Struthio camelus: one gene and its partners. The protein of the gene in region 1 binds, or shares a complex with, the protein of each later gene. Links are inferred from orthologs where the notes say so. Each region holds a gene or a part of one and is shown on either strand. Other genes may lie near its edges. The genes, in order: TOPBP1, PHF8 and BRIP1.

Region 1 (7,130 bases):
ACATTGAGGTCTCTGTACACACGTCCACCCATCATCTGCACATATTTATGAACTTCTTCCTGGGTGGGAAAAGAAACTATAGAAAATCTTCAAGCAAAAAGAACCTACATCATATGCAGGCTCACCTTAAAAAACAAACAAACAGAACCCCGTCAATTTCAAATCTCTATGGTTTCTCCTAAAAATCTGTTTGGAAATCCAAAAAATCAATATTTCGGGAAGCCATTAAAAATACCAGACATTAACTCCATTTTATTCTTGATAAGCTGAATATAAAAGATACCCTTAATAAAGAGGCTACAACCATATTATATCAGTGAAAATGTACTGATGGTTGGCATTTTAGGTAGTATAAATTAGAAATAGATGTTGGAATAAATAAAAAGGAAACTTTTACAATGAAGGACGTGAATTAAACTACTTGAGATAAACCACGGCTGACTAGATATTAAATCTTTACCGTGTAGTTTGAGTAACCAGAAATAGAGTACTTTGTCTGCAGCATGACAGCCACAGACAAACTAGCAAGCTAAGTGATCCACCTAAAGATGAAGTCAGCTAATAGAATCCCTAAAACATACAATTAATCCTACAGTAGCAAGACTAATGTCTTACAATTTTATATGCATTCTTATGTAACATAAATGTACATATACACACTACAAAGACATGTATACATACCATATATATAGTAAGCCTATATACAAAAATTTACACACCATCTACAGAGCCTATATATAAAAACAGGCAGACTTTTACGTTATATAGTAAGACTATTGGCTTAGCAATAAGCCATCTGAAGCAAATGTCACAGAAAAATTAGCTGAACAACCATTATGGGCCATTACCCTAACATCTTTTTCAAGGCTGGTACAGGATACTGTTACATCGGCCATGGTCATGTTATACACAGGATATTCAGCTCTTGGGACGCATCGCTGGGACTGCATACAATATAGGACTGCCTGTGGTCCAACAATTCTACAACCGAGCTGCGGTAAAATCAAAGAAAAAACAAAGATTAGCAGAAAGACACACCGGTATAAACAAAGCTTTCCTTGTCCCAGAACACTGGGGAAGGAGAGGTCATTGTCTGCCCTCCTTTAGCAGCTCCAAGTAGTTGAACATTTTTTTTCATTTTCTGATGCAGATTCTCAGTACCATCCTCTCACGTTTTCTGGCCTTGGTTAAGGCAGTGGATGCTACAGCTGACATGCCACAGAATTCTCGCGAGCCTAGCTTTGTCTGCTGGCATTATTTCTTGGAGGTCAAACAAAATTACATTACTGGGGGAAGCAAAAAAACGCGAGAGCCAGCTCACTGACTACAGCAGAATCAGAACTGATCACTGTATTTATTTTTCCATTTGCTTCAAGATGATTGTTACGCTTTGTCAGCCCTCCTCTTCCCTAAATACAAATGCATTGGAATTTTTACTATGGACTACTATATTCAGTAAAGAAAGAGAAAACATGCAGAGTATAATTATCGACATGAGCATTCCTACAAAAGACAGAGTATTCCTACAAAAGAGAGTATAGTTAAAAGTAAATTGATGAGTAGCAGACCTTTTTGAGATGACTGAAAACAACGCCTCTAAAAGGATCGCAAATGTAAAGGGATTTATCATTTTCGTTTATACTGAGCGCTGCTTCTTCTTCAAGGATCTGCAGATGTTCTTCTGACTGAAATTCTTTTATGGACTGCAGGAAAACAGTGCACACAATTACACTTATTTAATTCACAAATCACAAACAGTTAAACCTGTGGAAACTACAAAAGCTTGTCTACTTAAAAGAGCTTACAACAAAACTATATAAGAGCATATTAGTAGAAAAGAAGGCTAAAGATATCTCCTGTTTTTTTTTCCCCAATTCTTCACAATATTCAGAACTATATGTTCAGCACACAAACCTTCAGGACCTCATCCTGCCAGACAGTGCCTTTAACTCCCACTAACCTCCAGGAGGAGGAGAAAAATGAACTGTCCTTACTAAATCTTCAGTAGTCTGGATGAGTGACCACCATTTGGATTTGCCAAGCTTCCAGTTTACTTCATTAAACGTTAAGAGGTTTTCAGAGGAGGCTAAAACCGTTTATTCACTCCTCCCTCCCCTTACTCCCTCCTCCCCTCCAAGAGAAATAGTACTTCCCATGGTACTATTTGCTGTACTGGACAGTTGCTCTTTGCAGAGCTGATCTCCAAATTTTAGGCTCCTCAGTACCTTTAGCAAGACATTAGGCCCACAGAATCCCTCTTCTGTGAGAATCTACAAGATGTAGAAGAGTTTTCTGAATGGAACTATCACATTACAAGTAATAAATAAACACAATGAAAAAGAATTGCTTCTTGATCTAGGAATAATCATGCAAAACAAACTTTAATAACAACACTGAGCATCTCTATCACTGAAATGTGTTATCTACAGATGCGTACAAACGCACTACATCCCGAGACAACCACAGAAGACGCTTACATAGAAAATAAATACGGCAACCTCACTGAGAAAGGTCATCAAACCCACCTACCTCAAGAGCTTTAAAAAAAAACTCCGAGTTTCCAGAAGACTTTATGAACTTCACAAAGAACGGCTCCTTACTACCTTTCATCCTTTAACTGGAAAGCAAAACCACACAGGTTTCATGACTCTGCCACCTTCGTCCGGAGAGACACCTAACGCCTGCAGCCAGCAGCCGCCAACACCTTCCCCACCCCCGCCGCAGGAGCTGCGCAAACCGCCTCGGCCCGGCCCCGCACCGCGGCCCGGCCCCGCACCGCCCAGCCTCGGCAGCGCCACCAACCTCCGCAGGGGGCAGCCCCTTCCCCACAGAGCCTCCCCTCCCCCGCCTCACGCAGGCCACTGGCACTACCGCCGCCCCAAGCGCTCCCCGAAGGCCGGCTCGCTCGGCGCTGCCGCCCCGCCGTTGCGGGCCGCCGCCGCCGCCCGTCACCCACCCCGGGCCGCCTGCGCGGCTGGCGGGAAGCGCCGAGCCCCGCACCGCGCAGGCGCAACATGGAGCCCGGGCGGGGCGGCGGGGGGGTGGAGGCGCACGCGCCGCCGGAGGGGAGGAGCGGCGGCGGCCGTTGCGCGGCGTCACGTGCCCACGCGGGCCGGCCGTTGGTGGTGTTGCCGGACGGGCGCGGGTGTGGGCTGTGTCGCCGCCGCCGCCCTGTGGCGGCTGAGGGGAGGGGGCCGGCTGCCTCGCGCGCCCCGCGCCGTGGCGGCCCCGCCGCCCCCACTGGCGCCGCGGAGGGGCAGCGCCCCCGCTGGCCCTTGGGGTTGCTGAGGCGCTGCCCGGCTCCCGCTGCCTGGCCTCTGTGGAGGGCCGCAGCCTCGGCCTCTGCCGGCCCCGCAGCCTGGTTGTTTATCCGTGCTGTCTAGCCAAGGAGCGCTCTGCGCTGCTGTCCCCTCTGGTTCACGCCAGGGACAGCTGGAGGAGGCCTCTTCCCGCTGCTCGGGGAACGGTTACTGCCATAAGAGGTGGTAGCAAAGGCGGCTTCCCTAGCCCTAGCCTGGCCCATGCCTGGCATCTGCCCTCCAGAGAGGGTCAGGCCGTCACTCTGTTCGCTCTGAAAAGCCTTAGGGTGCTGGTGCTGCCACCTTGTGCTTGAGAGCGGCGGGGGAAGTACGGCAGCTGCCAGGAGGGCTGAGAAAGGTTGGAAGCGTGCTCATCCCAGTGCCATCTAAGTTGTGCTTCCGGGGGAAAGAGCGTAGAGAGGGTGTTCTGTTTCGTTCCTGTGACTTCCAAGCTATGCATAGGAATTTGAGGTGCACGCCTTCTGGAGCAGAGGACAGCATGAGCATGTGGAAAACTTGTTCAGAAGCTAATCGAGCTTCACTCCTCCCGTATCGTTCTGTATTGTTCTCCCGTATCTTTCAACTGCCTGAATCATCAGAAGCTGGCAATGCCCACTTCTCCGGCAGGCCGCTAGTCCTAGGTGCTCTGAGTGTTTTCTAAGGCTTGCTGCTGTCTGTGTAATATTCATGCTGCCTGTAGTGGAGGAAGTCATTTCGATAGAAGAGCATCTTGAGAAGAAAAAAGTTTTGGGAGAGGAAGAACACCAAAACCACTGATGAAAGCGAGTCTTTTAAGTGGCAGTATGAAACCTTACAGTGTGGCCACATGATGGCACCGTAATGTTAAAAACTGAAGGGACTCTGAGTAAGCGTGTGTGCAAGTCTAATTGTTGGAGGTTATCTCTTCAGTGCCTTGGGATAGATACTAAACATCTTTAAAACTCTTTCCTATGCTTATGTATTTTAAAACACTTAGTATTCATCCTCTTAGGGTCAGAGTGAGTTATGGGCTAAACCTCTTCCGTGTGTAAAAATAAACAAAAACAAGTGTAGTATCAACCAAAATAGGCTATTTAATAGACAACTAGTGACAAGCAGTTAAGCACAGGGATCATGTCTTGATGGTCATGTGTTATCTGATGATGTTGGTTCTTTGTCCAGTTGTTAAACTCTCATTTTTTTCTGCCTGCTTTTTCAGCATTATAGCAACCTGCTATAAAGAGGAATTTCTTCTTTCTTTTTTAATTCTATTGGGCTATCAAAAAGAAGAGGGCAGAGGGGAAGAGAGAGGATCAAGAAATCTAACACACAAAAGTCAACCAACTTTAATGGATTGTATAATACAAAATATTATTACAGTCTGTTGGCAGAGTCCTTAATTCAATGTACCAGCAGTGTTACTGAGCACTTATTTGATATGTCCCCTCGAAGCATGGTTCCCTGCTTACTACAGTGAGCAGCTTGTTCTCGCTTGCTGAAGCATGGTCCCTTCTCAGTGAAGTGAAGTAATAGAAACTCTTGAGAGCTGCTCGTTCACCGCTGATCCACTGGACCACAAAACTCTCAAAGTTCCAACTTTGCCTCTTGGAAGTTGCTTGTCACTTGGAAAGATTCTTGCTATAGGAGATAATACTGCAAAGGATCAGGGCTCTTCTTTGATACACCTCTCAAAAAAGCATGCCCCTCTCCTCTTCCGTGTTTGATTGTCCTTTTCTTCTGCAGGGATGGTTATGTACTGTGTATGGCACTGAAACCTAGAAAATAATTTCTTAAAGGCAGTGTGCCTTGGGGTCCAAATGAATGATTTTGTCGAGAACAGAATAAATCACAAAAAGATTTTCATAAATGTGATCTAGAAGAAAAAAAAAAGCCAGCCTGACAAAAGTTACTGCATGTAGCTTCCTATCCCTTTAAAAATGAAATGCATATATTTTGCATTTTATGCTGAAATTACCTGATTTCTACTTATAGTGATATAGTTACCTGTTTTAAAAGCATATACAAAGTCCAGAAGGTGACTGATGCAACAATGCCTTAAAAAAGGATGTGCATCTCTAACGACTGTGAATTAGAAGACATAGTATAATTTTCTTATACTTCCCATGTGGATGTAGTCCAAAAGTGGTGCTTAATACGATAGAATAACTTGAAACAAGTGGTCTGATGAGCAAAGATTTCCCTATTGCACTTCCTGTTTTCACAAGCACTTAGCAGTGTAAGATTTCTTTGGGGCTGTTGGAAACATTTGCTTATTTGGAAATATTATCTAAAAGGATATTTAGAGGAGCTGGGAAACAGAAATAACCCTACCAGATAAGAACAGCAATCAGAACATTGTTTTTTTATATTTCTATTTCCAGAGTTGGCCAAAACCAAGTGTCTTAGGGGAAATGTAACAAACACTAGGAAGGACAGTTTGGCATGAATCAAGTAATCGTGCAGATAAGGTATGACCTTAAGCACGTTAGTATCCCCATTCTTCAATTTTTCTGTGTGTTCAAGTGCTCTGCAGGATCTGACCTTTAGCAAAAGCCCAGTCATAGATGGCCGTCAATCTTACTAATTAAGAAAGCTTTTATTATCTTTAAAACTACCAAATGGCATAAAAATGGTCGTATCATTTTTGGTAGCCCCCAAATGATACCTACTTGTAAAACCAGGAAGTGCCCCTTGACTTTGTGGATCAGTGAATTCTTTCACTTGTTCCTATGTTTTGATAACTTAAAAATTCATGGCATATGCTTATCTCTGTAAACATCTGGGTCAACCCTATTTAGAAAACGTTTCCACACCTCTAATGCTGTTGTGTTTTTGCAGCCACTACCACTGCATTAATTTCATATTTTAAGTTTTTCCCTATAACTATGCTGGTTAGCAAAATGGCAAAAAAATCACTGCACTGAAAAAAACAAAACCCTATTGACTGATAGTACACATTTGATCTACCCTAGTTAAAGCTCCATGTGTAATACTGTAATGTTTAAATGTTGCAAACACATTGCTTTGCTGATCAACGTTAGTCCATTGTATATTTGATTAGCTTTTCAATATGAGTAACATATAAAACAGCAATTGATTGAGAGAGCCTCCTGAAATACCCAAACTCTTGAGTAACTTAGGTATTGACATCGAATAGTTAAGACTAACATGAGAAAAGACCCAAAATATTGGTACTTGACTGTACACAATGAAACAATACCTTGAAATATTAGAAGCTCTTTTAAATATATAACATTTTCCCTTATCCCTTCTAAAGATTCTATATCACAGACCTCCATAATTTAGCGTTATCTGCACAAGTACACAATTAGGCTGGTAAAGCGTGGAGCTGACACTGAGTTTAAATGAGTGAGATATCTTGTGTAAGGTCCAGTCAAGAGATGTTTCCAAAGAACCAGTATCGATTTCTAACCTCCTTTTGAATTAATTCAAAAATTCTGTGTATGAGCCTGCTAGCTTAGTGTACAGAGAAAGCCTCCAGTCTTTGGGAGTTTTAGGTCCTTCAGGATAAAGCTATGCTTTTACTTTCACAAAAAAAGAGAATACTTCTTTCCTTGCAGAATCCTACATTTGCATATCCAGCTAGCTAATTTGATCCATCCTTTTCATTTATGTACAAATACCCATATGAATGAACAAGTACAAGGTTTGGTAGGCGTATGTGCCGTGTTCTTCTGTGGCCACCTTAGAGACAATATCCAGACAACAGCTTTCGAGGCTTCTTTCACAGAACTGATTTCACAAAAGTTAATTCCACTTTTTCACTAGACACAGTTTACAATGCAGCAGAAACTTCTTGCTCTCCAGTGGACTGTGTGTAGGTGGAGCTAG
Region 2 (7,485 bases), on another chromosome or scaffold:
CCCTGATGAAGACGGATAAAGGACCTGGGGGGATCTGGAGAAGATCGGAGAGAACCCAGAGGATGTCGCGGGATCGTACCAGTGGGGATGAAGAGGGTCTGGCCCTGACGCAGGGGGCAGCGGTAGCACCGATCCACCTGGTCGCCGAAGAACATCTCGCTCTGGTTGCTGGAGCTGCTCCAGGCCTCGAAGAGGGCCAGGTTGGCCGGGGTGGGCCGGGCCAGGTAGAAAACCTTTTCGCCCTGCGGGACGCGAGAGGCGGCGTCGGCAGGAGCGCGCGGCCGTCCCGTAGACCCCAGGAGCCTCCGACACCCCCCGCCCCGGGGCGCACCCGCAGCACGTGGTACCACACGGAGGTGCCGCCGAAGTCGATGTGGAAGTCGGTGTAGCTGTCGCGGGCGCCCATGAGGCAGTACTTCTGCACGCTGGGCCGCTCGAACACCGACTCGCCCGGCCACAGGTTCTCCACCCACGAGAGCTTGCGCACGATGCGCGGCGTCTCCACCAGGTTGGACAGCCTGCGGGCCGCGAGGGCGTCAGGGCCGGGGGACCCCGTGCCGCGGCGGGTTGGACGCGACGCGGGGCCGGGGCGCCGTACCGGGTGTCGGAGAACTCGAGGCTGATGACGTTGAGGACGCGGTCGCGCCGGGCGCCGCAGAAGTAGGCCACGAAGTCGCCCAGCCGCATGCGGCAGTCGGCCTGGCGCGCCACGTCGATCACGTCGATCTCCTTGTCCGGGCCTGGCGCGGGCAGGGTGGACGGCTGGGGGGCAGACACGCGCCCCCACGCCGGCCCCCCAACCTGCCCCAGACCCCTCCCAGCCTGCCCCACGGGCCCCATACGTACCCTAGGCACCCCCTGCCTGCCCCAGAGACGTCCCTGTGTACCCCCAGGCTGCCCCATGGGCCCCATAGATGCCCTATGCACCCTCTGGCTGCCCCATGGGCCCCATACGGGCCCTAGGCACCCCCAACCTGTCCCAGAGATACCTCTATGCACCCCTAGTCTGCCCCAGAAATACCCCTATGCACCCCTAGTCTGCCTCACAGGCCCCATAGACACCCTGGGCACCCCCTGTCTGCCCCATAGATGCCCCTACACACTTCCAGCCTGCCCCACGGGCCCCATACACAACCTATACACCTCCTGCCTGCCCCACAGACGTCCCTCTGTACCCCCAGGCTGCCCCACAGGCCCCATACGCACCCCCAAGCTGCCCCAAAGACATCCCTCTGTACCCCCAGGCTGCCCCACGGGCCCCATAGACACCCTATGCACCCCCAGGCTGCCCCACAGGCCCCATACACACTCTATGCGCCCTCTGCCTGCCCCATACACACCCTATGCACCCCCAGACTGCCCCATACGCACCCTACACACCCCCAAGCTGCCCCAAAAACATCCTTCTGTACCCCCAGGCTGCCCCACGGGCCCCATAGACACCCTATGCACCCTCTGCCTGCCCCATACACACCCTACGCACCCCCAGGCTGCCCCACGGGCCCCACAGACACCCTAAGCACCCCCTGCCTACCCCACAGATGCTCCTATACACCCCTAGCCCGCCCCACGGGCCCCACAGACGCCCCTACGCGCCCCTGGGCTGCCCCACACGCGACATAGGCGCCGCTACGGGCTCCCACGCGCCCTGAGCCTGCCCCGCAGCCCCACCGCCGCCGCCGGCCGGGCTCCTCACCCACGTAGTGCTCGATGTCGCGGGCGGTGAAGGTGGGGGGCGGCAGGGTCATGCCCAGCCCCTCCTTGCGCAGCACCAGGATGGGGACGCTGAAGCTGTTCTCCTCCAGGTACTCCACCGTCAGCTGGGCCCCGCTGGGCTTCAGCAGCACCTCGTCGGCGCTGGAACGGCCCCCGTAACGCCCGGCTCCGCGCCCTACGCCCCCCCCCCCAACCCCGGGGCGAGGGGAGCGACGCCGACGGCGCCCGCGCGCGGCCGGTTCGGACGTCCCGGCGAAGCCGCGCTTCGCTCGGGGCGGGGGGCTCGGCGCCCACCGCCCCGAGCGCCCCGTCAAGCGGGTATAAAACCAAAACCGCCCCGACGCCGGGGCAGAGCGGCCCCGTCACCCCTCTCACCTGGGGAAAGTCCGGCCTCGCAGCTCCCGGACGAACTGGGCGCTGCCGGTGCGGACGGCGCGGCCGGGCTCGGCGTCCGGCTGCTTGGCGAGGCCGCGGCGCCGCTTCACTGCGGAGTCGGGGAGGGGGGAGATGCCGGCGTTGAGGAGACGCCGCGAACCGCGTGTCCCCCCCCCCCAAAAAACCACACCGTCCCGAGCGGATACTCACTGACGGAGGGGCCGTGCAGCTCCTGGCACTTGGGGCAGTGGTAGAGGTCGATCTCGGCCGCCGCCTCCTCCTCCACTCCCACGCAGCTGTAGGCGCGCGTGTATAGGGGACGGCTCGGCCCCCGCCGCCTCCCCGACCCCGGCCCCCCCCCCCGGCCCCGCCGGCCCCCACCTGCCGTGGAACCAGTCCTGGCACACGTCGCACTCGATCATGAAGCGGGTCACGTCGTAGGGCAGCCGGCACAGGCAGTACACGGGCACCGAGGCCATGGCGCCCACCCGCCCCTCCCCCCCGCTATAGGTGCCCCCCTCCCGCTATAGGCACCCCCTCCCCCGCTATAGGCGCCCTCCTCCCCGGCGGGACCCCCTCTCCCCGCCCCAGGGCATCAGCCCTGCGGCGTCGTATAGGGGCAGCCCCCCCTACCCCCCCCTCCGTGCTGGGGGGGCACCAGCGGGGCTTCCCCTATAGAAAAGGGCTGCTCGTAGCCCCTATAGATCTCTCCTGCTTTTTGCTATGGGGGGGGGGGGAACTTTACGGGATGGTTTCGGCTCCTCTCCGCGCGGACCCGGCCTCACCGCCGCTCCCTTTGCCCTATAGACCCCCCCCTCCCCCTATGGGGAATTCAGCTCCCTATAGGGCCCCCCCCTTCTATAACGGCTCTACCTCCCCCTTAACCTCCCTATAACACCCCTCTATAGGGTCTCCCCGGGTCAACGCGGCCCTGCCCCCCTCCACCCACCTCTATAGCCCCCCCCAGCTCTATAGGCCACCTCTGGCCCTATAGGCCCCCCCCGCCGGCTCTATAGGGCCCCGGGACGCCCCACTCCGGGTCTATATGGGCCCGGGACCCCTCCCCCCGGGCCTATAGGCCCCCCCCGGACGCTCCCCTCGGCTCTATAGGGCCTCGACCCCCCCCGCCGAGGTCCGCGACCCCCTTAAAGGCCCCCCAGGCCCCGACGCCGGTGCCGCCGCCGCCGCCGCCGCTGCTGCTCGGCTCCGGCCTCCCAATAAAGTTTATTCAAACGCGGAACGGGAAGGAGGGGGCGGGGCCGCGCCGCCATGTTGAGGTCACCGGAAGGTGGCGGAGGCGGGGGCGGAGCCGAGCGTCCCGGCCGCGCCGCCATCATGGGGAGGTCGCGCAAGCGCAGCGCCCACGCAGGCAGCGGCCGCCATGCTGGGAGTGGCGGGACACGCTCGCGCTCTCTCTCTCTCTCTCTCTCTCTCTCTCGCTCTCGCTCTCTCTCTCTCTCTCTTCCCCCCCCCAACACACCCGGCATGTCCCGCGGCGGCTGCCGTCCAGACGGCCGCCATCTTGGGAGTGGCGCGGACGCCGCGCCGCGGCCATATTGGAAGTGACGCACCGCCTCACAAACACCCGCTTCTCCACGTGGGTTTTTATTATTTTCCCTTTTTTTGGTGTTTTTTTTTGCCGTTTTTACTCCTTTGTAACAATCCGTCCAAAAAAAAAAATAAACGCGGGGCCGCGCCAGCCCCCGCCCCCGGAGCAGACCCGAAACCTCGCTGGCCTTTTGGGGGGGGGGAGACCATGGAGGGGGGGAAGGGACTGAAATGAGGTAGATGGACCAAAACCCCACGTTTACGCCCCAAATCGCGTGGGGAGGGGGAAGGGGGGGCGCAACTGGGAGTTTTGGGACGAAACAAGGGGGTTTGGGGGCCAAAGAGAGGCAACCGCGGCGCTGGGGGGAGGCCCACGCACCGTTGTCGGGTGAACGAGGGCCTTTTGGGGGGAAACGGGGCGGTTTGGGGGCATTTTGGGGTGGAACGGCGGGTTTCGGGGCAGAACGAGGACGTTCGTGAGGTGACCGAGGGGTTTCAGCTCCACTGGGGTGGTTTGGAAACCGAATGAGGCGGTTTGGGATGTGGGGGGGGGGAACCGGCAGTTTTGGGGGAAAATGAGGTGTTTTGGGGCAAAACCGGGCCACTTTGGGGTCGGACGAGCGGGGCTGAACCGAGGCCGTTAGGGGCAACCAAGAGGAAAACGGGGCGGGGGAAACGTGGGCGTTTGGGTCAAACAAGGGGGTTTCGGGGTGAAACGAGGCAGTTTGGGGCAAAACGGGGGGGCCTTGGGCACATGGGGAGGTTTCGGGGTGAAACGTGGTTTTAGGATGAAACAGGCTTTAGGGTGAAACGAGGCAGTTTTGGCTCAGCTGAGGCAGCTCGGGGTCAACCGAGGCAGTTTTGGGGTGAAAGGGGGAGGTTTGGGGGTGAAACGAGGTGGTTCTGGGGTGGAACAGGTTTTTGGGGTGAAATGAGGGGTTTTGGGGATGAAATGGGGCGGTTTTGGGGTGAGACTGGGCAGTTCCAGGGTGAAATGGGGCAGTTCTGGGCTGAAATGAGGTGGTTTGGGGGTGAAACAGGGCATTTTGGGGGTGAAACGAGGCTGCTTTGGGGTGAAACGAGGCTGCTTTGGGAGTGAAACAGGGCAGTTTTGGGGTGAAACAGGGCAGTTCTGGGGTGAAAGGGAGTGGTTTGGGGTGAAACAAGGCAGTTTGGGGGTGAAACGGGGTTGTTTTGGGGTGAAACAGGGCAGTTCTGGGGCGAAAGGGGGTGGTTTTGGGGTGAAACAGGGCAGTTTTGGGGTAAAACAAGGCAGTTCGAGGGTGAAAGGGGGCAGTTTAGGGGTGAAAGAGGCTGGTTCTGGGGTGAAAGGGGGCAGTTTTGGGGTGAAATTGGGCGGTTTGGGGGGGAAACAGGGCAGTTTGGGGTTGAAACGAGGCTGTTCTGGGGTGAAAGGGGGCAGTTTAGGGGTGAAACAGGCTGGTTTTGGGGTGAAAAGGGGCAGTTTTGGGGTGAAATGAGGTGGTTTAGGGGTGAAACGGGGCGGTTCTGGGGTGAAACAGGCTGGTTCGGGGGTGAAATGGGGCGGTTTTGGCGTGAAAGGGGGTGGTCTATGGGTGAAACGGGGCGGTTCGGGGGCGAGACGAGGCGGTTCTAGCACGAACCGGGCAGCTCCTGGCTCGGCGGAGACGGCGCGGGGGCCGGCGGCGGCGGCTGTCCGGGGGCGACGGCGTCCGGCATCGTCGTCTCCCTCACTTGGGCGCCGGCGGGACGGGGCAGCGCAGGGCCGGACCCGGGGGGCCGGGCGGAGGCGTCGGGACCCACCGGGGCGGGTAGGGGCCGCAGCGGGGCAGCCGGACGCCGCGGAGGGTGGACGCCCACGAGGACGAGCCCTGCGGCGCCGGCGGAAAGAGAGACACAGACAAGAGACGGGACGGGGAGGGAAGAGGATCGGGGCGTGGAAGGGGGAAGGAGGTGGCAACTCAAAGCAGGGCCCCCCGGAGCGGACCCAGGCGTCCGGGAGCCCCCCTCACCTCGACGGTCCTGGCCCGGGCGTCGGGCTCCGGGCGACCCCGGTTCTGCCGGAGCTGGTTGAGGCTGGGCTTGAGGCCCGGCGCGCCGGCCGTCTCTCGCGCCCACTCGTCCACCAGCCGGTGGAAGTCGTCCGTGAAGAGGCCTTTCTTGGCGGCCGGCGGCGGCCGGCAGGGATCTGCGGGACGCGGGCGCCGTTAAGCTGCCGGCGAGGGGCCCAGGCGTCCTGGGGCCGCGGGGTTTTTGGGAGGGGGGAGGCGCACGTCCTCCGGTACCTGGCGGAGCCGGACCCTGGGAGCCGCTGGGGGGCTGCGAGTCGCTGGCGGCGGAGCAGGAGGAGCGGGGGGCCGGCGGGCCGCCGCGCTCTGGGGACGCGGCGGGGATTCGCTGGTGGCTGCTACGGGGCTGAGCCAGACCCCCGAACCGCCCCCCCCCCCCCGAAAACCCAGGCGTCCCCGTCCCCCCTCCCCGGAGCGGTCCGAGCCCCCCGCGGCGGGCCCAGGCGTCCCCCCTCCCCGGAGCGGTCCGAGCCCCCCGCGGCGGGCCCAGGCATCCCCCCTCCCCGGAGCGGTCCGAGCCTCCCGCGGCGGGCCCAGGCGTCCGGGCGCGTGCTCACCTGCGAGCGCGGGGCCGGCGTCGGGGCCGGGGGCCGGCGGGCGCCCCCGGGCTTTGCCTTTGAGGGCCCGGGGCCGGCGGGGGGAGGCGGGGGGCGGCCCCGGCTCGCCGGGCTCCCCCCGGGCGTCCTTGAGGGCCCGCAGGCGGGCGTAGAGCTCCTGCAGTTCCCGGTCCTGCTGCGCCCGCAGCGTCACCACCTCCTGGATGTGCCTGGCGAGGACGGGGGGGACGCGACGGGGCCGTCACTCGGGGGCCGAGGAGGGTGGCCCCGGACGCCTGGGCCCCTTGCCCGGCCTTCTCCTTACTTCTCCCGCAGCTGCTGCAGCTCGGCCTTGAGGTCCTCGTCCTCGAGCTCGGAGTCGCCGTCGCTGCTCATGGGCGACGAGGGCGAGTGGGCGCCGGAGCCCGGGCGGCGCGGTCCGTCCCGGGGGGCGGCCGAGGCCTCGCTGTCCGAACCCGATCCCCCCGGCGGGCTGCCCGGTGCTGCCTGGGCGCCGGGGGGCTCCTCCGCCCCCCGCGCCGGCACCGCCACCACCTGCGGCGGGGGAGAGAGATGGGAGACGATGCGCTCAGCGGCGGGGAGCCGGACGCCGGGGCCCCTTCGCTGGGGGGAAGGAGCAGCGAGGCAGGCTGGGGGTTCAGGGACGGCTCTTTGGGGGGGTCTCTGGGAGAGGTTGGGGGTCCCTGGGGCATTTTGGGGGTCCCTGAGGTGGCACCCATTCCCCTCTAGGTGGCCCTGGGGCATTTTGGGGGACCCCTAGGCAGCTCCCATCATCTCTGGGGGGTCCTTGGGCATTTTGGGGATCCCTGGGGTGGCTCCTGTCATCTCTGGGGGGTCCCTGGGGCAGCTCCCATCATCTCTGGGGGTCCCTGGGGCATTCTGGGGATCCCTGGGGTGGCTCCTGTCATCTCTGGGGGTTCCTGGGCAGCTCCCATCATCTCTGGGGGGTCCCTGGGGCAGCTCCCAGCCCCTCTGGGGGTCCCTGGGGCATTTTGGGGGACACCTGGGCAGCTCCCAGCCCCTCTGGGGGTCCCTGGGGCATTTTAGGGGACCCCTGGGCAGCTCCCGTCCCCTCTGGGGGGTCTCTGGGGCAGCTCCCGTCCCCTCTGGGGGGTCCCTGGGGCATTTTGGGAGACCCTTGGGCAGCTCCCAGCCCCTCTGGGGGGGACCCAGGGGCTCCCCACAGCAGCCGGGGGGTCCCCTCAAGAGGACGGCGCCCCGCTCCCGCCAACGCCCGG
Region 3 (7,697 bases), on another chromosome or scaffold:
GAACTATTGCTACTGCTTGACACAAGCTTGGGGCAAGACTATAAGGTGTAAATTCATAAAAGAATTTAAATTTCTTCTTTGCCAGCTATCTTACCAGTTCTTTCCCTAAGTGCAGGAATACCTTCACAAAGCCTATCAGAATGAAATGTGCCGTTTTCCTCAAGTTTATTCTTTATGAATCCAAAGTGTGGTGGTTTCTTCTCAGTATGAGCTCAGCAAAGGAGGAATCAGGAGTTTGCTTTAGAAATGTTTTGCCTGTATTTTTGAAGGCCTTGTGATGATTATGGAAAAACAATGGCAAATGATTGATAATTATTACTCCTTAAGGCAATTCATGGGCCTTGAATTGGTATGTTGTAACAAGGGGAGATTACATATTTGGCTGTTTCCAGGTAACTGAAATTTATTGGGCTAAAGATTCTTGTAAGAGAATAAAACAACTCCCCAAAACTGTTTTTGTATCAAACTAACTTCTTAATTACTTGTATTTAATCCCTTCTCAAATATTAAGTTACTGCTGATAAGAAGGCGCTCAACTGAAGTTAAAAACAGAACATATGGAACACGAAACAACTTTTACGGGGATTATGTTGTGAATTGTGTGTTGCTTTGTTTCTCACCAACAGTATCAGAACAAACTGTGTCTGTGGGGGAGGTTCTGAAACACTAACTCTGGTCCTTGCATTAATGTTAAATCTGTGAGCTTTTTTTTTTTCTTGATGTCAGCAGAAACATTTCACAGTAACTACTATAAGGCTTCTGTGGCTTTCATTTCCTCATTGGTAAAATCAAAATAGTTACTAATTATTAAGTTATGTGAAGAACTTTGGATTGAAGGTGCAAAGCAATCTCTAAATTTATTGCCTGTTTCTTTTTTGCCTTTCACCTACTTAACAGATATTTGCAATCCAGTTACTTTCATTTTTGTGTATCCAGTACGCACTACCTAAATCTCTCAGCGTGGCTCGTTTAGCTATCAATGTCATGGGAACCCTACTCACAGGTAAGCATTCCAGCAACGCCTAAGCACACTGTTGCAGAAGTTAAATTTATTTTGTCTAGACTGAATACAATTTTACCGAAATGCCAGTGTGATAATTGTACTTGAAAACATAACAAAAATTATTGATTGGATTTTGATAATAGTTCCTTTTTTAACGGACTCTTTTCTCTTTCCTTGACAGTTCTAACCCAGTCGAAGCGTTATGCCTTTTTTATGCCAACCTTGCCTTGTTTGGTTTCCTTCTGTCAAGCCTTTCCGCCTTTGTATGAGGATATTATGTCTCTGCTGATACAAGTAGGGCAAGTCTGTGCCTCTGATGTTGCCACGCAGACAAGAGACTTTGACCCAATTATTACACGTAAGTAAGGCATCTTGTATTTCAAAAATAATATCATGGTCCCAGGGAGAAAATGATGTTTAATGTTTCAGATGTTTCAGTGCAGTTTGAATGCAAAATAAAATGTACTACCGTTACCTTGTAAATATAGAAGGGGTAAAGGTGGATTTATTGGAGAGGAGGAAAGAAGTTAGAGGCTAAAGAGGCTGAAGACATTCCTTTGTTAAGCTTTTATGAACTTCCTTCCTTCTGTTTTGTTTCCCTGTGCGTATTATTGCAAGATTTAACCCTGCGTGCCAGGGTTGTGCATGGAATTTGCCATCGTAGCCTTAGGAGGAAAGGCATGAGCAAAGACCATTGGCTTTTGAGAACACAAAGACACTTCCATGCTTCAGCTATGGCATAAGAGCTGATTAGGGAAATCTTCCTAGTCTACTGGAAGTGCAAAGTGAAATGAGTTAGCTGAAGTCTCACAGTATGGATGGATAAACATATAGTGATTGTATGAAGAGGACTTAACTGTTTAAGTCTATTCGTTCAACTTGAGCGAAACATTCTGTCTTTTTTCTGTCTAAAAACAAATGTTCCGTTCCTGTGATACAAGACTTGCTAATATTATCTGTGCTAGGATATTTATGTTAAAAGAAGTCAGACAGAATATAAATAAAAACAATGAAGTCAGATGTAGGTGAAATGAAAGATGTTTTTAGTGTCCCTAGAAATACTCGCTGTATGAAATAGTGATGGTTCAAATGTACTATTTCCCAATATGCATATTTGCATTAAGGGTGTAGTATAACAATTATCTTTGCTGTATTTATTTGTACTCCCCCCCCCCCTCCTTATTTAATTTTCTAGGTCTCCAGCAACTAAAGGAGAAACCAAATGAAGTGTCAGGACTTTGTAAAGATTCATCTTATAAAAGTTGTTCAAGGGACATAGCAAGCACGGACCCTGATGTTCAGTTATGCCAGTGTGTTGAAAGTACTATCATTGAAATAATTAACATGAGTGTAAGTGGAGTTTAGGAAGTACAGAAATGAAATTGTACCATAGCTCGTATCACAGTCTACGGTGTCTAAATACGGCGAGAACTGCCAAGTGGATTGAGAAACTGGAGCACAAGTCCATGTCTTTCATTCATCAGATTCAGTTATGGCTGAACCTTGTCCAAAGAAAATAATTCTTTAAAGAGGCTTACGCTGCTTCCAGTGAAAAGTTCTGAGGCTGCTGGGGCTGGTAAACAATTCCCCATCCAGTGGAAGTGGGCATGATTTTTAGGCTTGCTGCATCACTTCATGAACTGAGCAACACACCTGTACGTGGTTTTATAACACTTTTTGAAAAGCGAACGCTTAGTTTGTTGAGCAAACAGCAAAACAATGGGTAAGAAAAGCTTGAGGTTGGAGAACTTTGCTTAAGTTCAAATGAACTAGTGTTCCAGAGGCTTGCAGAACAAGATGGAATAAAAAAATCTTCACAGAAGACTGGAAAGTGTGGTGTAGGCATGTCGTACCATTGCACTGAGACCTAGAGAAGAGGCTTTACATTTTTTTGGATTGGCTTTTCAAACCATTGGCCAGTGTGAGTTCATGAGATCAGTCACTTTAAAATGAGTTCATTTAAACATCTGTCAGCCTTCATTAACAGTTTGAAACTGGTCTAGAAGTTTCTAAAAAAAAGTAGTACAAAATGAGGTGTATAAGCATGATTTTTAAATAATATATATTTTTAATGCTGCTTAGGTGTCTCTTTTTTAAACATCACTTTGTTTAAAAGAGAGGAGAAAGACCTAAGGAAGAAAAGCACAAAGATATCTGAATTGTCATTAGGTTAAGATTTAAAAAAAAAAAAAAAATCAGTGTTGGAGGTTACTGTGACAGAAGCTGAATTTCACTCTAATGACTGGAATGACAGGTTTTAGCCATACCAAAGTGGTTACATCCTAGAAACTTGCAGCTTGGTGGACAAGAAGGCTGAATCCTTTTGTGCTTAATGCATACAGAACTGTCTCTGAAAGCAGTTGATTGTCCTCTCATATAGGAAAACCCACACGATTTAGCCTTGAAAGATGTTTTGTGGCATCACAGAAGGGTGTGTATGGTGCAATATCTGGAAGTTTCTTCAAAGTTGCACAAGCTCTCATGATAGGCAGCAAATGCTTTTGCAGACAGAGATAAAATTAAGGTTTGGCTGTTGTGCTAGAATTGAATGCAGTTCTTCAACGAACTGTAACTGCTAAACTTGTCAATGCAGCATTTGCTGTTTTGAAAATGACAGTATTTAGAGTCCAGGTTAACTAAGATATTTTTCAATTAAAACCAGTTTATATTCCAGAAATCATGGTCTGAATGTTTAGTCTGGCCTTCTGAATGTCTTGATGTGTTGGAATGCGATTCAGAAAAGCTAATATTGAATTGCCAAACAAAGATACGGTACACTTTCCAGAGTTACCAACGTGCTGATGTAAAGCCTGCTGTAACCAGGTGACAACACCATCTGACTACCAAGTATATTTTTTGTCATTTTGATGTAAAAGATGTAAATAATTTACATGTATGTATTTTTTCCTCTTATGCTTGTGATTTTATATGCTGTAGTGGTATTTAAGTAAAAACAAGTGTATGTTTTGGATCAATTTGTAGATATTTGTACTTTTAATTTCAAGAAGATTTGCCTATATCGATTTAAATATTCCAGTTTGATACCTAGGTTAAGTAGAGGGAACCATCCCTTAGGGCCTTAGCAAAAAAAACCCTCCCAAGACCAAAACAACCCAGCAGCGCTGGTGACTTGCAGATCTTAACGTTGATCCTGAGACTTTTGAATTGCCAAGAAAGAGTAGTTTTAAATGCATGTAAGTACTTAGACGTGACAGACTTTACTAAAAACAATTTTCATTAGCATTTTAGGTTCCTGTACAGTATTTGCAGTAGCTGTCCTAAAGGTAAATTAAAAAAAAAAAAGTCTATTTTTTCAGCCCTAAGGAAGAGGGCGTGAAGAACCAGCGCGTCCTACAGTGTATCCTGATTATCACGCGAGCGCTACCGGGGAGCCGGGCCCAGAGCTTCCGCCTCCCGCTAAAAAAAACCAAAAAACAAAAAACCCACACAATACACACAAACCCCCGCCCCCAAAAACCCAAACTCTCCCCCAGATGACGATAGTTGCTGAAAGGAACCTACCGGAGGCCCTGAGGGGCCCGAGCCGCCGCCATCAGCACCACCGCCGCGCGGTCGCCCAGCAACGAAGACAACCTAGGAGCTAACAAGGCGCTCCGCGATTGGTTCTAACAGCGCGGAGGGGGAAGGCGGGAGCGGTTGAGTTCGCGGCCTGCTGATTGGCGGCTCGGAGCCTTTCCTGTCAGCTGATTGGCGGGAAGGACAGCGGCCGGGGCGGAGGCGGGAAGGACGGACGCTGAAGAGGGCCGCTGCCGCCGCGTGAGGTGAGCGGCTCGTCGCTTCTCGCGGGGCCGCGCCCGGGGCGGAGCGCGGCTCTGAGGGACCCGGCTCGCCGCGGGGAAGGGGCTCTCCGGAGGCTCCTGCCTTTTCTCCGTCTCCCGGCAGAGAAAAGAAGCGCCCAGGTGCCTTTTGTAGGCCGGGGTGGAAAGTGGAAGGCGCGGGAGGAGGACAGCAGCCGGCCCCAGCGCTCTCCGCCGCGAGCCCCGCAGAAACCCGCGCTGGGCCTGGGGGTTCCCTGGGGAGCCGCCCCCGGCCCGAGGGTCCCTCCACTTCGCCCCCCCTCCCTCCCTCCCGGCCCCCGTCTCCGGCTGCTGCCGCACTCCGGTTTTGATCCCCTCCCGCCTCCCTCGTAGGGGCTTGCTTTTTCTTAGGCAAAGATCCTTCGCACTCCCCTCAAAAAAACGTTTGAGAGAACCCCTCTGCGTGTGAGGAAAAGCCTTTCAGTGAGGTGCAGTTACGTTTTTGGAAGGAGGGCATGGCTGCAAACTCAGGCTAGCAATCTCTTTTGGCTAGGGTTTCTTTTTCCTGTTGAGGAAGCTGATGATGAAGCTGAATCATGCCTTGTGTTGGTGGCTTTTTCATGCATGCATTTACTCATTAAAGAGTCAGATGAGCACACAGGTTAGTGAATTTATTTATCACAGGGAGGTTGCCAGCATAAATTCACTTTTAGTTATTTTGTAGATGCTTAAGACCGATAAGAAAAGTTAGTGATGCTTAAAAGCTGTAGTCTTTTTTAAAGCTGTATATCCCTACTCGATATTTGTACCTCAATAGTTTCAATGTTTTAGAATGATATGGAAGATAGGACTGGGTGTAAGGTTTGTTCAGCTGGATGCTCAGCTGGATAGTGTGGCTTGCTGAAACAGTACGGTTTTTATTACCCAAAATGAGAGAAGTGCAAGAAGATAAGTAGAATAGTAAAATGAATGACAGCTCATTTTCCCCTGAATAATTACTATATTAGTACTATAAGAAAGGTGTTTTAAAATCTTATTTTTAAAGTCAGTATCCAATCTTAATTTCTCACTGTTACAAAATGAAAAGGCATATTCAGAAGCTACAGCTGTTGGCTGTATCACTGTAACTTGCAGCGTCTTGGAGGTCAAGTTAATGGAGCCGCAGAATTGAAAAACTGATTATTTATAGTTACTAAATATCCTAGAATACTTTTTCCCCTAAGAATTTGGGGGGAAGTAAAACCTGTGAAATAAAATTGAAATGATGTAAGTAGTTCATTCATAGTTATTTCTAAATTGCTTACATTGCTAATGTTAATTATCAGATGGTGGTAACTTGCTCTTGTTTGTGACAAGGACCAGGCTTGAACTGCTGTCATGTAGTATAAGTTTCTGTATGCGAGTTTTCTTAATATCCTGAGCCACTTAGCCCTCTTATCAGGTTAGCAGTTTCTGCTCGTTTCTGTTTGGTGCTGCATGTTGTTTCAGACTTTCCCGTGGTTGCTAATTTTAGCTGGTTAATACTTGTTTTTATTTCAATTGCAGTTATAAATCTGAAATAAACAGGGTGAAAAGTGGCAATGTCTTCTGACGTGTCAGAATATACTATTGGGGGAGTGAAGATTATATTCCCTTGCAAGGCTTACCCATCACAACTAGCTATGATGAATGCAGTAAGTAGAATTTATGTTAATATTCGCTAAAGTAATAGGTTATGTTTTGCAATTCTTATCAACCTTTAGAAAAAGAGCATATACAATTCAGTCTCCACTATTTTCAGTATTTCAATTGTAATGCAACTTACTGTATTACTGTGTTTCTTTGTTCTCTGTTTGTACGTGTTTGTGCTATACAATGACATGTGACCCGTGACTAGGAATCTATGGTATTTGGATTATAAGATAGTAATAATGTTTTGGAATGTTGAAATACATTTTGGCTTTGTAGGCTGAACTTTTATGCTAAGAACCAAGCTATGTGCTGTGTAATATAAATGCTTATTTAATTAGCTGTAATATAAATTGTGTATGATTTTGCAAGTACAAGGAGGGAATGTTCTACTAAACCATGTCTTTTAATCAGAGTGTAATATTCTAGTAATTTTTTTCAGAGGAGGGTTTTTATATGATGTTTCATATTGCATATTTAATATGTACGTTTTATATTTAATTTGGGAAATTTAAATATTTTCTTCTTTGAGAGACAAATATTCTTGTTCTGCGATAGATATTTTAAATATTTTGGTTCTATAAGACTACAGAAAGAAAGTCAGCCCCATCAGATATTGCTATTAGCAGGTAAGTATTTCATAGTACCCTGTAAGCGAACCTCTGAGCACTGCTCAGAGGGTTGTTTTTTTTAATTTTTTTTTTATTTTTTTGAACATAACTGCAGGTGCCCTGGACTATTTTTAAAAGTTACCTTTAGCTTAGTTAAAACATTCTTTTTGCTTTCACAGTTATTTATGATTTTGTTTTCATTCTTCTCCTTAAAGATTGTTAAGGGATTGAATAACAGGCAACACTGTTTGCTGGAGAGCCCTACAGGAAGCGGTAAAAGTTTGGCATTACTTTGTTCTGCATTATCATGGCAGCAGTCTTTGTATGGTAAGCTTTCTCAGTGTCCATGTGCCCAGTTGTTGTTGCTGAAATATATTATAATGAATTATTGTTGCTTTTCAACCTTTAAACTTTTGGTTTGAGGAATGTATGCAGGTCTTTGTCCATCATTATACATACAGGCTTATTGGCAAAATGGCATTAGGCAATCAAAACAGCAGTGGCCAATAATGCTAAGCAGAGTGATGACAGCTTGTTCAGACGGCATAGTACACAGAGACACAAAGTTTATAATGTAAATAAAATAGATGATGAAGATCGCATCCATAATGTGTAACGGGACCAAACAAAGTCCCATCCAAAATGATGCTTAAAAAT

Evidence for each region.
Region 2: the proteins of TOPBP1 (region 1) and PHF8 are in contact, whole or in part, in a crystal structure (PDB 7CMZ), measured with the Homo sapiens proteins. The link is inferred for Struthio camelus from reciprocal best matches to the Homo sapiens genes TOPBP1 and PHF8. Residues at the interface, in NP_008958.2 of Homo sapiens: Gln1298, Cys1299, Arg1314, Asn1315, Glu1316, Leu1319, Arg1369, Ser1406, Arg1407, Gly1410, Phe1411, Arg1413, Leu1414, Arg1465, Thr1466, Glu1467, Ala1470, Asp1471, Gln1475, Asn1483, Tyr1484; in NP_001171825.1 of Homo sapiens: Gly842, Ala843, Cys844, Phe845, Asp847, Ala848, Tyr850, Ile851, Tyr852, Pro853, Ser854, Leu855, Glu856.
Region 3: the proteins of TOPBP1 (region 1) and BRIP1 are in contact, whole or in part, in a crystal structure (PDB 3AL3), measured with the Homo sapiens proteins. The link is inferred for Struthio camelus from reciprocal best matches to the Homo sapiens genes TOPBP1 and BRIP1. Residues at the interface, in NP_008958.2 of Homo sapiens: Leu1272, Ser1273, Ser1274, Leu1275, Asn1276, Pro1277, Arg1280, Gln1298, His1311, Leu1313, Arg1314, Asn1315, Glu1316, Lys1317, Leu1319, Gln1366, Arg1407, Gly1410, Phe1411, Leu1414, Thr1466, Glu1467, Ile1469, Ala1470; in NP_114432.2 of Homo sapiens: Ser1129, Tyr1131, Phe1132, Thr1133, Pro1134, Glu1135, Leu1136, Tyr1137, Asp1138.

What each region holds. Positions count from the first base shown.
Region 1 is NC_090943.1:50,368,625-50,375,754, forward strand, and holds the start of TOPBP1 (DNA topoisomerase 2-binding protein 1), read right to left. Parts: upstream 3,030-7,130; 5' UTR 2,957-3,029; exon of another isoform or gene 2,803-2,956; intron 2,618-2,802; 5' UTR 2,611-2,617; coding exon 2,530-2,610; intron 1,704-2,529; coding exon 1,569-1,703; intron 993-1,568; coding exon 849-992; intron 60-848; coding exon 1-59. Other genes in the region: C-C chemokine receptor type 5, read right to left, coding at 7,075-7,130. UniProt on the Homo sapiens protein: Scaffold protein that acts as a key protein-protein adapter in DNA replication and DNA repair. Composed of multiple BRCT domains, which specifically recognize and bind phosphorylated proteins, bringing proteins together into functional combinations.
Region 2 is NC_090979.1:567,375-574,859, forward strand, and holds the start of PHF8 (histone lysine demethylase PHF8), read right to left. Parts: upstream 3,021-7,485; 5' UTR 2,571-3,020; coding exon 2,473-2,570; intron 2,388-2,472; coding exon 2,302-2,387; intron 2,201-2,301; coding exon 2,092-2,200; intron 1,858-2,091; coding exon 1,697-1,857; intron 741-1,696; coding exon 599-740; intron 519-598; coding exon 332-518; intron 243-331; coding exon 80-242; intron 1-79. Other genes in the region: serine/threonine-protein kinase WNK3, read right to left, coding at 5,352-5,492, 5,634-5,809, 5,907-5,996, 6,248-6,456, 6,552-6,781. UniProt on the Homo sapiens protein: Histone lysine demethylase with selectivity for the di- and monomethyl states that plays a key role cell cycle progression, rDNA transcription and brain development.
Region 3 is NC_090957.1:18,851,687-18,859,383, forward strand, and holds the start of BRIP1 (Fanconi anemia group J protein), read left to right. Parts: upstream 1-4,693; 5' UTR 4,694-4,785; exon of another isoform or gene 4,786-4,923; intron 4,924-5,314; 5' UTR 5,315-5,422; intron 5,423-6,306; 5' UTR 6,307-6,341; coding exon 6,342-6,434; intron 6,435-7,255; coding exon 7,256-7,367; intron 7,368-7,697. Other genes in the region: INTS2 (integrator complex subunit 2), read left to right, coding at 898-1,003, 1,185-1,361, 2,199-2,368. UniProt on the Homo sapiens protein: DNA-dependent ATPase and 5'-3' DNA helicase required for the maintenance of chromosomal stability. Acts late in the Fanconi anemia pathway, after FANCD2 ubiquitination.